2 linked regions of the Styela clava genome follow. The main gene of each other region encodes a partner of the protein of the gene in region 2 in a complex. Links are inferred from orthologs where the notes say so. Each region holds a gene or a part of one and is shown on either strand. Other genes may lie near its edges.

Region 1 (6,973 bases), on a different chromosome or scaffold from region 2:
TAAGACGCTTTAAAAGATCCATTTTATTTTGAATTCATCACTATCAAATGTCTGAAATCCCGACACATACTCCGAGAATTCAGAATTTTAACGCACAACTCTGGGTTTGAAAAGTTTGAAAATACTACTCCAGCCAGAATGCGCCCAACTCATCTCCTGACTCAACAATCCCAGACAAATCAAATCAGCCCCCCCCCCAAAAAAAATGCCAGAAATAGTTTAAATAACTCCATCTACACCTTTATTGACCCGTTTCTCTCTGGGCCAACTTTTAAGCTCCCAAGTCTTTTCCCACTTTGCATAAAAATTTGCATTTCTTATTCTTGATTTACGTTTGGTTTGCAATGCGTGCAACTCAAACTCTGGCTTTTGTTAACGAAATATAAGTTAATGTATGCATATTCATATTCATTACAATAATACTAAATACTATATAAAACCCCTAAAAACGGCCCCGAAATGGTCAATTTCTAAAAATATGCATATAAGCCGACCCTACAAATCACACAAGTGATCAAGTTCAAGCATGGTTCGAATTGGATTAGGTTAATGTCATTTCGTTTGATTGAGTGCGATCAGAGTTATGCGCGTATGAGCTGACCACTTACAAAAAGTAACTTTTTTTTTGAGTTTCATGTTAAGTATAAATATAAATGATACCACACGTAGGGTTGCCAGTTCTGGATACACTTTTTTTCGAATCGAATCGAATCTGATTCCATTAAGCTTTTTTTTTTCTTATTGCACGCCTATGTTTGCTCAATTGGTGTTATTTGGAGTGCCGCATAAACGCATTCGGCAAATTTAAATGCCGCCGAAAACAAAGATAAACAAACATTCAATCTTTTTATTTTTCGGTAAATCGCTCTCTGTTACCAAGTCGCGTAAATCTGATTCGCAAAAGATGCGATTCGAATCGATCCATAAATCCAAAAGTGGCATGCATCCCTAAGTCAACACGCAAGTACAAAGTAAAATTCCCTTCCCAAAAACTTCAAAACCGACCCCCCGCGGGAAGAAATTTTTCTCGGGTTCAGAAACTTTAACTTACTCTAATATAATATCCGTCTCTCAAGCCTCCAAATTTTTCTTGTCCAGCTGTGTCCCAGACATCAAAAATAATTTTTCCACGATTTGTATGAAAACTTAACGGATGGACTTCTACTCCGAGGGTTGCCACATATTTCTTTTCAAACTCTCCAGTAAGATGTCGCTTGACGAACGTTGTCTTGCCTAAAAAAAATTTTTTCAATAAATTATTTAACATATGGAAATTCACAACAATAAAAAAAATTGCAATTTATAGTGGGAAATTGAACCCCTACCCATTACCAAAGAAGGCAAAACAAATAAAACACCCATTACCAAAGAAGGCAAAACAAATAAAACCTAATACACACAGAACACATTTTAAAATAATATTTTTGAATCTTGGGCGCTCCTGTAGTATGTGCACCAAGATGGCAGACACCGGAACGTAGTATGTGTACCAGGTTAGGGTTAGGCCATAATTCTTTTCCAATTTTAGTTTTATTACGAGTTTGGGAAGTTCCGTAGTATTTGTACCTGAAATTATGGCCTAACCCTAACCTGGTACACATACTACATTCCGGTGTCCGCCATCTTGGTTCCCATACTACGGGAACGGGAGTACCGAATATTGACTGTATTCTATGTGGAATGTGGCATACACACGTTTCGGCCCATGAGGCTGAAGATATGACATCAACAAAGCGAGAGGCCCGATCGCTGTGAATAAATATTCCGCTATAGTAAAAATGTACTTTTTGCTTTCTTTAGTTTCGCTTTACTGCTGAATTACCCGGCGTCCAATCCATATACGTTTTCTACCGTATTTACACGTTAAAAATCAAGCCCGAGTTGTTTTGTTTGCATTGAAATTTTTAAGTTTGCCTCTACTTTCGTTGAGTAAAATTACAAATAATTTAACATATATTAATAACGAAATGCTTCATTCCCATTAAAAAAATATACAATCACTGCATCAAGCCTCGCGCATTGTTGACAAACGTATCACTGCACTCGGGCCAGGTCATTAAATTACCGGTAGTTCATATTCAACAATTCCATTGTTATTTTTTTGGTTTGGCTGTAAGCTTCCTCACTTAGACAATGATTTTCCAAATAAAGACTATTCCTAAAATCAAGAAAGATTCCAATCTTTCCACATATCCTCAGATATCGAGGGGAAGTGGTGACTCCTCTATGGCCAATGGGCCGGGGCCCAGCCCATCGAATAAGTTGTGTAAAAGGACTATTCACTTGGCTAACACAGACAGTCCCCGAACTCAAAATAGAACTATAATGTGAAAAACTTGAACGAAAATTTGTCCCAACCTTAACCTGGTACACATACTACTGGACTATTTTGTTAAGACAATTGATATATACTGATGATGCCGCGGCCCATAGCTTGATGGGCCACGGCCCACGTGGCCCAATTAGATGGGCCGTGGCCCCGGCCCATGGGCTGTAGAGGAGTCACTGTCCCTGTAGTAGATATCAGTGGCTCCCTGCCTGTAGAGGGCCGTGTTCATAGCAATAGACATGAAAGAGCATCATGAAAAGCTTTTCAATTGTTCATGCCAAGACATTCTGAGCCTTGAAGAATATAAGGAACTTAACTTCTCCCATGAAATCCGTAACAGTCAAAAATCATTTTTTCCTGATCTTTCAACTTTGAAATGTATTTGATATCTGCGCAAACACGACAGCCTCCACAGCAGCTGAAGCGACCGGTCCCCTAAAACTGCATTTGCGCGAGTTCTATTTTTCAGGGAATAATAGTCAGCCTAAAAATATTCAAAATGTAAGAAACTTTTTTTTTATCTACCTATATGACTTACCTACACCTCCATCACCAACAAGTACCAATTTGAAACGAGGGATGTCGCTGTCTGCTTGTTGCTGTGCCATATTTTATGTTTTCCCAAACAAATTCTACCGTAATTGCCAAATTAACTAAGCAAAATATCTAATTTCTAAAGAAGAAATATAAATTTGTGATCAGAAAACTGGTCAATATACAGTATAGCATGATTCTCCGATTCTATATTAAAAGACATCAATTATAACAGCGAGTGCAACCTCCCTCCTTTATGTGAGAGTAAACGCAATTTAGGTCACTTGGCGTCTGCACTCGTTGCGATTACTTAAGATTATTATTGAGACAAGCATGGTGCGAACTAATGCACCTGCTGCATGCCAGATGTTTCAGAGACATATTGAGTGTTTTATTGAACCAAACGTTGGGACATTTTGGAATCTGCAAACTGTGCCCTACTGAGATATCCAAAGCGAATAGAATATTTGTATCAGGATTATGGTGTCTGGAAATTTACTTCCAGACAGTACGACACACTATCCAAATTCCGAGAATTTCCCTTCATTTGGTTCGATAAAACAAACACTCTATGTGTCTCACAAACAAGGAGCGTCTGGCACAAAGGTAGATGCATCATATCGCGCCATAGCTAAATTAATGTGGCCATCACATGACCAAAATTGCCGTTTTTTTCTAAAATCTCTCAAATGCCATGAAAGAAAAATTTCCTTCGTTAAATCGGATTATTTTTTCCCGAGGACTTCAATGATGACGTATTTAGATTGCGCTTCTTTGTAGTATTTTGCGCAACTTCGTTATACTGTATTTTCACCGATATTGAGGGACAACAATGTCCAGACGTCTCCCAAAGGGGAGGGGTGTCTGATCACCGGTAAAATGGGTTTCTCTGAAACAAGACAATGTCGCTCAATCTGTATAGTGTGCCGTACTGCCAGACAGTGGGTTAAGAAAAGATTTGACAGCCTGTAAAAAATTTGAAATCAACTCCGAAATCCTAGAAAATTGAGATTTGAAGACAAAAACTGCACAGAGCGCTTGGCAAACTTTGTTCTTAGTTTTCTGTTGGAAATGCAGCCATTTTCCATCTACATTGAAAGTCGGTAATAGAGACTTGGACTTTCAAATTTGAGAAATTAGGAAGTCTGCTCAGTCTCGAGTACATCAGACTTCACGGCCCTGACTTGAAGAAAATGAACATTCTAAGGATAGCTCCACATTAAAAGGCAATAAATATAACAGTGAGTGCAAGCCCCTCCAGTCTTCAAGTGCAGTTTTAAGCATTTCTCGGCGTCTGGAGCTGCCGCAAACCATAGCGGTATTTCCAAACCACGGCCACTATGGCCAAACTCACGGCGACCAACTGCCACAAACCAATGGCGAGCTGCCGTTACCGCGGCTGCAAATTGAAAACCACGGCAGGTCGGCCGTTAGTTATATACACCTGAATGGTTAGGACAAGGCTGCCCTGATGGTGACTTATATTGCGTAAGTTGGAACATTTTTTATAGATACAGTTTAGATGTATTTGGGGTTTAGGTTTCAGGTTTAAGTAGATATATTTTCGCATGATAAACGTAAATCTGGTACATGACTTTGTGAATATACCGATAATACTGTGATAGCGCCATAAACCATGGCAAGAGTCGTCGCGGTTCGTTCGTGGCAGGAGCTGTCAAGAAGTGGTAAGAACTGCGACTCCCAGTCTGGATGTCCATAATCAGCTTAAAGCGACAAATTGGCACTGTGCAATAAACTAAAAGCAAGGGCAATCTAAAAACATCACCATTGGATTTCAGTACAGCAGTAGGGCATACTTTTCAAATTCTAGAAATGTCCCAAACACTCCTGTGTCTCACAAACGAGAGTTGTCTGGCACAACGCCAGATGCGTCATATCGCACCATGCTTGTCGCGATAATAATCTAAATTAATCGCGGCCATCATGTGATCAAAATTGCCATTTTTTTATAAAAACTCTCGAATGCCACGGTAAAAAATTTTTTCCTTCGATAAATCGAATTCGATGATGACGTGTTTGGATCACGCTTCTTTGTAGTCTATTGCCTAACTTCATTTTACTGTATTTTTGCCGATATTGCTGTATTGAGGGTCAACAATGTCCAGATGTCCCCAAAAAGGAAGGCTGGAAGGAGTTCATTGGCAAAATGGGATTCTTTGAAAACGAGACAATGTCTCTCGATCCTAAAGTGTGCATACTGGATTTATTACTGTATTAGCTCACTTTCTAAACTGTTTCTTGTAGTCCAGTAGTCTATTCTGTTTCCAAGTCCAATACAGATCCGTCTTCAGCATACAGGCATAACAAATGTAACAGGTCATAAAAATGAATCACCTAAGATTGGGATGATTTGTTTATAGAACAATATAAAGAGAGAAATGTGTGGCAATAGCATAACTTATCCTAATGCTGTAATGTCTGAGTGTCCCGATCCGATATGACTAAACCTGTAAACAGAAATGTCAGATTGTGGAGGGGCAAATATGATATCCTACTACTGTCTGACTGCACGGTACCTAAGCTTTATAAAATATGCAAACAAACTTTATCATCATAAGACTGAATATAGGAGGTAGCGGCAGTTGGCAAAAAAAATAATAGTAAATTAATCAAATCCAGCCGCGGATGTCCTGAATACGCGAAATCAAACGCAAAAGTAAGCGGACCTGAAACGATTTGGCGCCAAAATATTCCCATAATTGACATGGACTGGTAAATCTATAAAAACCCGTATATTTTAAGCCGTCACATCGTATTTATCTCCCCCCTCCACAAATACAAAACATCTTTTTCTAAATGAAAATAAAATTTCGAAATCTCACCTCCAGAAACTAACAACCGTCCAGATCGAGACGAGACCGTCCTTTCGCGCCGATGACGTCACAGCACGTGGTTTAGTTTTGAAAATTTTCCATTGCCTCGTTTGTTTACTCAAGCATATCGCTCGTTTCTGAGTTCATTCGTGAGATTATGTAAGTGTTATTTGCTAGGATACAACATCGGTAATCATTGCTCTTGTACCGTAGCAATAAAATGTTAATATAAGATTGAAAATTGGCTTTTTATCCTTGAATAACGTAATTTGTATTTTTTACTGGATAAAAAAATAAACTTGAACATGAATGGAAATACTCAATTCTGGTACTAAAGCGGTAAAATCTAAAACTAGTTTGAATAGGATACAATTGTCCTATTTAACCAGGGAAAGCCAACAAGGCGCCTTAATCACAGTTTCCCCGATCTGAAATTAATCTCACACAATTTACGAGGGAAATGATAAGTACTGTACACACTTTTATTGGGGAAGGGAACCCGCGGAGATGCAAAGCTGTCTATCGAGCGGCGACGCTCAAGATTCTATTATCTAATTTGACAACGACTTTACGATAATCTGCCCGTTTCCTCAGATTATCCCTAGCGGTAAAAGTTTTATAGATACTGTACTGCCCTCCAATTGCCTCACCCCCAATTATTCAGTATGTCCTATTTGATTCAGTTTATCTTAGGCTAGGTTATTGTTCCGCGCGGCGGTGTGGCTCAACGGGCTAAGCGTTAGGAATACGCTCGCCACCGCACCTCTAATTACTCTGCGTGGGTTCGCAGGTTCGAATCCCATGCAGGGATGGTTATGTGCGAGAGGATTGCTGGACTCCTCGCCGTCGTTGGGTGGTTCACGTAACCGCTGGTCGGTTACGGCTTCCTCCACCACCAAGTCCATGCTTCCGAAAAAAAAAAACAATACAGTAAAACTAATCCCATACCCGACTTGGAATGGTAACCGGACGAGAGGCCGTGGTTCGCCATATGGATAAGCCGTCTTATCGGCTTTCCTCTCCCCCGGGATAAATATGTAAATCCTATCCTAAATCCTATCCTTTCCTATTTAACTAAACCAAAGAAACAGAATCAAACAAAACGAAAATAAATTTATTGAGCGGTAACAGGATGGCACCGGTTTATATCTTTAGTACTTTTGAAATTGTACCGAACAGGGGAAACTGACAACCAGAAATAAACAAGCAAATTCCTTGTAAAAGCCAGATCACACAGAACTTCGACTAGCTAGAAACTGGTTTTGATAAAGAATGG
Region 2 (7,872 bases):
TCTCACACCCAAAGGGCCCATATCAGAACCGTATAATAAAATATCATTATAATTGAGTTGTCGCAAATATACACGTGCTTAAACTGTGATAACGGCGTAAAAATTGGTATCTAGAACGTAAAAAGATGATAAATATGAAGTGTTTAATTTTTTCAAATAAGTTCGACGGGCCATATTAAATCGTTGCGCGTGCCGTAATTGGCCCGCGGATAGAGAACCACTGATCTTGAACAGACTGAATCGAATAAACTTTTTATACAGACTTCAAAAATAATAATTCAATTTGAAAAACATCTTACCGGTTGTCCAGATCCGTCGTACATACATCCTACGACATTATCAAGGAGTTGAATATCCAATTTCTGTGAGAAGTCCAGCAACTGCTGGCCGACTTGCTGAGTTAATACCGTTCCCATGGAATTAGTATTGATTGGTGGCGTCATTTTGTTGGATGCCTGGAAAAAGAAATATTTCAAAATTTTAACTGATTAATTCATTAATACTGTCACACCATGACATGATAGGATTTTCATATTTATTTCAAAAGGGAAAAGATGATAATTTTTTGGCGTGGCAGAGCCTTGTATCAAGTTATATGCTTTTAAACTTATGCTCTAACTTATTTTAACTTATGCTCGCCTCCCAGGTATCCTTGCATTTTGTTTGTCTGCTTACTTTTTGTGTCATTTATGTTAAAGAACCAGAATAAAATGATTGATAATGATAACATGGCTCAATCATATGGCAAACCATGGTCTTTCATTCAGTTACCAGTCCATGTTGGGTACGGAATTAGCTATTCGTTGAGATGCATGGACCTCCTTACAGCAGATATTTTGGGTACCACCGTAGTATGTGAACCAAGATGGCGGACACCGGAACGAAGTATGTGTACCAGGTAAGGCCTTAAGTACAGGTACAAATACTACGGGAGTCACTTGGCTCGTTCCGAACTAGTAATAGAACTAAAATAAGAAAAATTGGAATACAATTATGGCCGAACCTTAACCTGGTATACATACCACATTATGGTATCCGCCATCTTGGTGCACATACTACGTAGCGCCAATATTTTTACAACAATAACCTGTTAACTATAACCAAAACTAAACTGTATCGGTATGAGTTTGTAGTTCGCGAAAGGATCAAACATCTCAAAAAATAGGGGAAAGTTGATAAGATGGCTTAACCATAATATGGCAAACCAAGGCCAGTTACCAGTCCATATTGGGTGTGGGAATAGTTATCCAGTTAAAAACAATAATCTGGTTTGATCATATGACATAATATGGCTCTCATTACCAATTTATGGTATATAACAACCAATAAATTTGATTTTAAAGCATAGTTGACATAGTAGGGCAGAGTGAATGTCAATTTAATTTTTTCAATCAATAAAAATAAATTGTAAATTTGAGAAAAAAGTGTACACGTTGTTTTACTCTAGAGAAGAAGCGCAGCAGGATACAGCCATATACCCAACACTACGCTCCAGAAGTATGCGTACCAGTATATACGCAACAAATTTTGTTCGCATACTTTACATCAAGGGACTGAAACCTATAGGTAGGGGGATATTTACTTGGCTAACACAGGCAGTCACCGAACTCGTAATAGAACTGAAGTGAGAAAAATCAGAATAAAATTGTGGCCTAAACCCAAGATGCTGACATGGTACATACTACGGGAGGTGACCGTACATTTGAACCCATGCGTATATCCATGGGTTCAATCTATATACGGGTGCTAAAATCCATGGGTTAGGGTTAGTATGGGTTTAACTATCCGTGAAAAAAAAAAATTCCATAGATGCAATAGCATACAGGTGAAATTGTCATGGGTTCAAATGTACGTGGGTTCAAATGTAATGGAACCACTACGGGAGTATGATAGCCTTGTAACAGTAACATGGCCAGTGTCTTATTAACAAGGATCCATAGCCTTTCCTCCACCCTTGAGGTTCCTGTATTAGTCTTTTAAATTCAGTTGGCTCATTTTAATCATGCAATAAGTCTTTTGGGCGTTTCTACTATAAACAACACCTACAAAAATCATTTCCATTAGGTTAAATGGAAAATTCCTGTATGAAAAATACCCTGTGAACAAGTGGTCACAATATCTGTGATTAATATGAATTTATTTGTATATATATTTTATGAACATTGCGATATATCGTTTCAATATGTTGTTTCACATAATTAAAATTCTTTAACAAAACAAAAAGACGGTAAAATCACCCCCAAACCGTCCAAAATTTGATCGAACCGGCCAGCACTGGTTCGCAACACGGAAAAGTCATCTGCGCGTGAATCCACCTCGAGCGCGTCGCGCGTGTTATTAAACAAACCAATCTCACGCGCGCACACACACCATCGTGTAGTTTTCCACTCATCGTGGGAACCGTGAGAAAATTTCCATGACGTCACGGGCATTCAAAAGCGAGCGTTTCTATTTTCATTCGAAGTTGGGTGTTTCCCCGACTTATCACATACGATTTTAATTTCTTATATTATGTCCTCCCCACGAAAATAAAAATTGCCAATCGAGGATAGGCCTATAACCAGAAAAAATGAAATTGTAAACACATCATGGGGAAACCCCGCGAAACATTACTACATCTTTATGTAATTTTCCATTTGAACGTACGGTACACGGTACAGATGTGCCAGAATTTTGGAAGAAAAACACAATTTTACTAGTTTCTGACTGAATTTTGTTACAAAAATTTCGTAAATAGATTATAATATACTCACAGATTGCAAATCCGAAACGGATATCGCTGTAGCCGCCGTTTTGAAGGTTAGATTCGTTTCAAATTTCTGTTAAATACGTATTTAGTATTCTACTAGTCTACGCTTTCTTCTTGACGACTTATTCAAGTTATGCCTTCTTCAATATAAGCTTTGTAAAGTAACTGCTTTAAAATTTCTTTTACGACAAGTAACTCCTCCCTGCGAACAGTCAATTTCATGAAATGATATTCGAAAAGCAATTTACAGAAGAAGCGAGTCGAAGCTGCAACCGGTTTGATCTGGTTTTCGCAATGCGTTCGCACTTTTTCGTTTTTCATCGCGCTGGATTTATGACGTCATCGCGTTTTTTCGTTCAGTTATTTAGCTCTCTTTCGTCCAGCAGTAAACAAAGAATAGGCAAACTTCAAAACAAAATATAATTTCACATAACGTTAGCTATATCATACTGAAGTATAAAGATTTAATCAGTTTAAAAATGGTTCCGCAAGACTGATTCTGTCTAGAAATTTTGAACCCGCCATTTTTGAATCCGGAATTCACTTATCCGTGCGACCTGAAGTGGGCTGTTCGATTGCGGGCACCGTTTCGGTACTGTTGTACGGATTACCGGTACGAAAATGTATGTTTATTTGCCTAAAAATGTAACAGTATCTGCATAATAATTAAACGGTATAACAGAGACGGGATATATGTTCAAGACCTTACTTTGAATTATGCCTGAGGTTGCCAATTGTGACACATTTACAATTCTAAATGAATTAAGGCTAAACTTTAAATAGGAAGAAAAATTAAAACGTATCGATACTATTTGTTCTAGCCCTAGGTCTTCGCCGACTTCAGCAACTGTTGGGCACGCCTTGTACACAGGTAGGCTGATGCTCCGCGTATATAAACGCGTTTGTAACGAACGATTCGACACGACAATTGAAATTGTTGGACACGTGGTGGTGGATCGTTTTGCTGTTATGTTGATTTTGTTGGTATTTTTTTTCATGTTGTTACAAAAAAATCGTTTTTCTCATATACTAATGGACCATTGCTTTGAAATTTTCAATGGTTGAAGATTGTATTTTTTGCTAGAATGTTATTACTTTTATTCCTAAATTTTCAATGAGATCTGATATTTCATCCAAAATGTCGCCATATTCTTATATTTTCATGTTTTAATCCGCCAAACGCGGCGGCGAGATTCCGATTTGACGCGACGCTACGCGAGACTCGGAGATTAATTGATGCGGGTCGGAACTGTACAAAACGGAACCGTACTTTATTTTGGATTTCGTATAAATATATTTTCGCATTGCTTTTTTTAAATTTACGCTCTACAGTAATTTTTTATTACCTTTTAGGAAGTTTTGCACCTCTAAAATTTTGTAAAACCACAGGAAAACGTCTTTGCGGCAATGGTCTGAAAGTATCCTTATCGTAGGTCACAGGACTGGGCAATATCGCGTACTTGATGATTTAAAAATCTAATCTAAAAATTTTCAAATCAAATTCGAAATATTTTGAAGATATAATCGTATGTGGTATTTTCACTGTGATACATGGGTTAATAAGTTAAGAACTAAATGGATGACCGATGAATCACATTTTTTTCACACCGATCAGAAGTTGGAATTCTAGATTTTAAACAGCGCGTGAAAACTCGTGAACTCAACTCAGTCGTCTTACTAAGAGACATAAAATTACAAATGACATCTAATACGTGACACGTGTTGTTGCATCACTCTTGATAGCTTTTTGACATCAGGCGGCATGTTGCAACACACATCTCTCGAATAGAAAATGGATTTCATTTCCTCATTCCATTGCATCTTAAGAAGTTCCATCCGAATGTTTTCTGCAACCGTATCCACGTTGGCATCAAACGGAATACTAAACAGCCTGAATTCGTTTTTAAGACGGAAAATGACGTCAGCATGCTTTTGACCGCGTTTCACATCCTTTAACATTTCTTCTATTAGCCGAGTCAAGTTTCTAGCAGAAAGGCTGATATAGGAGAATAAATTTACTTTTTTTAGGGCCTACAATACCGACTGCAGTCATCAATTACTTTTTTACGAAGTGTTAAGCAAATTCAAAAACTTTTCGAAACTGGCAACAGTATTCTGTTCGTTTTCGTTGTAAATTGTTTTAGGAAGAAAGAGCTTTGTTTTGTTAGACCTACTTTGAATTGTTTACTCCTATCTTCACGTCTTTGGCCATCTATCCTCCTTTCTATTGTTTTTCTAAGCCGATTTTAAAATGCTTCGTTTCATAGTGACGTATAATGTTCTATTCCTTTTTGCCCAAGTGTTCTGCGCCTTTGAAACCTTTGCACTCAGCATCAACTTTTCTGCGTTGTTTGCCATTTTTCTGATTACAATTAAATTGAGGCTCATTAAACGAGTGTTCACTAAATTGTTAGATTATAATATAATTTAATCTAAACATATCTTACTATAAATTTTGTTACGCAAAGATAATACTGAACTACCCAAACGTAGATCGTAAAATTAATTCATCGTCTAAACCAGGCCTGGGCAAACAACGGCACTCGGGCCAAATCCAACCCGTTGGGGACATTGATTTGGCCCGCCCGATGCTGCCACAACCAAAGTAAAACCAAATTTTGGTGTCTCAGATAAAAATTAGCTCAAGGATTTTGTTGAGATTGCGATTAAATTCAGTTTAAGCACGAGGCTTATTGTTCCCCAATTTTTCTTTTGTGACACTGTAAATATTGTTCACAAAATGTAACCTTCCACGTTACACCTAATGGCCCGCCAGTCTAGGTGGCCCGCGGTACAATAACCTTGCCCACCCCTAAACCGTCGTTTTGTCGCCATAATTCACGGAAATGTCGCGAGCCGAATCAGGACCGCGGGCCGTAGGGTGCCGACCGGTGCTTTAGTACTCCAGGTACATTAATATCATTTGAACAGTTCGCTTCGCTTTCGCATCACAATAGGAAACTTATTCCATCAATAACTCACTTGGAAGACAGAAATAATCAAATGTCAGAATTGCTTTTAAAAAATTGAAGGATACACCTTGACTTCGCACAAAATAAACAAGATGGCGGCGATTCAAAATTTATGGTTCCATTATATTTGAACCCACGACAATTGCACCTGCATACTATTGCACCTATAAATTTTTTTTTTGTTTTGCGGATATTTGAACCCATACTAACCCTAACCCATGGGTTTTAGCACCCGCATATAGATTGAACCCGGGGATATACACATGTGTTCAAATGTACGGTCACAAAAATTTATGTATGCGAACAGATACGCATAATTCACTGTCAGATTCGAAATGCCCAGCTCTAATTGTATATATATACGCTTGTTAGATGCAACCGCGAAATGTTCTATAGGTAGGCTTACAGTATGTCTGACGCAAAAAACGAGACTGTGCGGATAGGACAAGCCGATCTTGGTTCGATCCCTTAGCTTAGTAATAATTGTGAATCAAAATTAGCTGTAAACCATACTAAAATGTCCTCTATTGGTCTTTGCTTCAAATAATGGAAATCGCTCTTTAATTTATCAGAAAACTTGCACTTTGTTTTTTTGCATTTTGATGATTCAACGACAGTACAGTTGGGTGTTGAATTAACGCATGGTACATGGTACTTCATAACATAACTATGACATAACAATCTGAACTAGTAAGGTGAGTTGTAAACCAGTAGGAGTTCACCTGCGTCCGGTAAAAAACAATTTTGTATGAATATCAAATAAAAAAGGCATACTTTCATACTGCATAACCGGTCATTGAGGTCTATCGGCCGGGACGGCGCAACAACTATAGCTAAAATCGGGATTGCCCCGACTATACCGATATGTATGGTAAGCCTTCTCGGCGGTATGGTGCATTGTGCCAAGCGCTAGAAATACGCTCGCCACCGCACCGGTTATGCAGTACGACAATTGTAAAGATTCTTTTATTCGATATTAATACATTTTTTTAACGAAGGGAGCCGATTTTCCACTGATTTTCAACTCAAGAAAAATCCCCAAAATAATACAGTTACTTATTTCAATTTTCTTCGAAAAATAACACTAGGGCTTATTTTTTGGGGATGTCCTTTATTTTCATATATCAAAAACAAGATTGCAAAGTAGAGAATTACCAGATTTTCAAATATATATACAAAATATAAAAACCGATATCCATTTACTTGTGAAAAACACGTTCATATTTAACCTAGATTATTCAGGTCATTGAACCCTTTTCTCTCTCACAAGTTTTAGAATTCGTATTATTCATTTAAAACGTGTAGGAGAGATTTTGGTACTCCCGAAGTATGTTTACCAGGTTAGGTTTATGCAATAATTTTGTTCCAATTTTTCTATATTTAGTTCTGTTACGAGTTCGGTGACTAGCCAAGTGACTCCCGTAGTATTTGTACCTGAAAATATGGCCTAACCCCAACGTGATACATATACTACTTTCCGGTGTCCGTCATCTTGGTTCACATACTTCGGAAGTACCGAGATTTCCTGCTATTGACTAGGTCCAAATAAATTTTGCGCTATCGACTAGGTCTTATTCTGAGGGGAGAGCTTATGTTGAAATCATTTTTATAATTCAGAAAAGACCTTATTTTAGGGGAAACACGGTATATCATAGTTGTGATATTTGAACCCATACGTTATTTTAACACCCGACTGTACTGTCGTTGAATCATCAAAATACCGAAAACAAAGTGCAAGTTTTTAATAATATTTACAGCGTCATGCCCATCATCTACCCACAATGTTATGGTTAAAGTCAAAACTTCCACTAAACCTTAGTGTTACGGTAGCCAAAGTCCAACTTAGTTCAATAGCCCCGCAAATAGTCTATGACTGCAATGCATTTATACGCGCTCCCAAAACCTGTCTTGCTGTCTATGATACACTGGAAATATGCAGCTCTGATGTTGTTGTTTGAAATGATATTTTAATCCAAGTAAATCCACAGTTAAACAGAATATCCAGTTATTAAATGTAATCCAATAAAGCAACCATACAGGAATTGATTGCGGTAAATGACAATTGTGTCTATCCAACCAATAGTTCTACGATAAACAGATAAAGTAGATGAGCAAATTTACTATGTGCGCTCCCGGTTTCAGGTTCTTGCC

The links.
Region 1: the proteins of exportin-1-like (region 2) and GTP-binding nuclear protein Ran-like are in contact, whole or in part, in a crystal structure (PDB 7B51), measured with the Homo sapiens proteins. The link is inferred for Styela clava from reciprocal best matches to the Homo sapiens genes XPO1 and RAN. Residues at the interface, in NP_003391.1 of Homo sapiens: Leu35, Tyr36, His37, Gln43, Arg44, Gln47, Leu50, Thr51, Lys54, Glu55, Asn74, Tyr77, Tyr78, Gln81, Lys124, Val125, Lys129, Met132, Leu173, Glu176, Glu177, Phe181, Gln185, Lys266, Thr269, Glu270, Asp313, Gln316, Asn317, Gln320; in NP_006316.1 of Homo sapiens: Lys12, Lys37, Lys38, Tyr39, Val40, Ala41, Leu43, Gly44, Val45, Val47, Trp64, Glu70, Lys71, Gly74, Leu75, Arg76, Asp77, Gly78, Tyr79, Ile81, Gln82, Val96, Pro102, Asn103, Arg106, Arg110, Val111, Glu113, Val124, Asp125.

The regions. Positions count from the first base shown.
Region 1 is NC_135252.1:24,004,498-24,011,470, forward strand, and holds the start of GTP-binding nuclear protein Ran-like, read right to left. Parts: upstream 3,003-6,973; 5' UTR 2,938-3,002; coding exon 2,868-2,937; intron 1,234-2,867; coding exon 1,052-1,233; intron 1-1,051. UniProt on the Homo sapiens protein: GTPase involved in nucleocytoplasmic transport, participating both to the import and the export from the nucleus of proteins and RNAs. Switches between a cytoplasmic GDP- and a nuclear GTP-bound state by nucleotide exchange and GTP hydrolysis.
Region 2 is NC_135255.1:23,657,006-23,664,877, forward strand, and holds the start of exportin-1-like, read right to left. Parts: upstream 3,016-7,872; 5' UTR 2,754-3,015; intron 456-2,753; 5' UTR 444-455; coding exon 300-443; intron 1-299. UniProt on the Homo sapiens protein: Mediates the nuclear export of cellular proteins (cargos) bearing a leucine-rich nuclear export signal (NES) and of RNAs.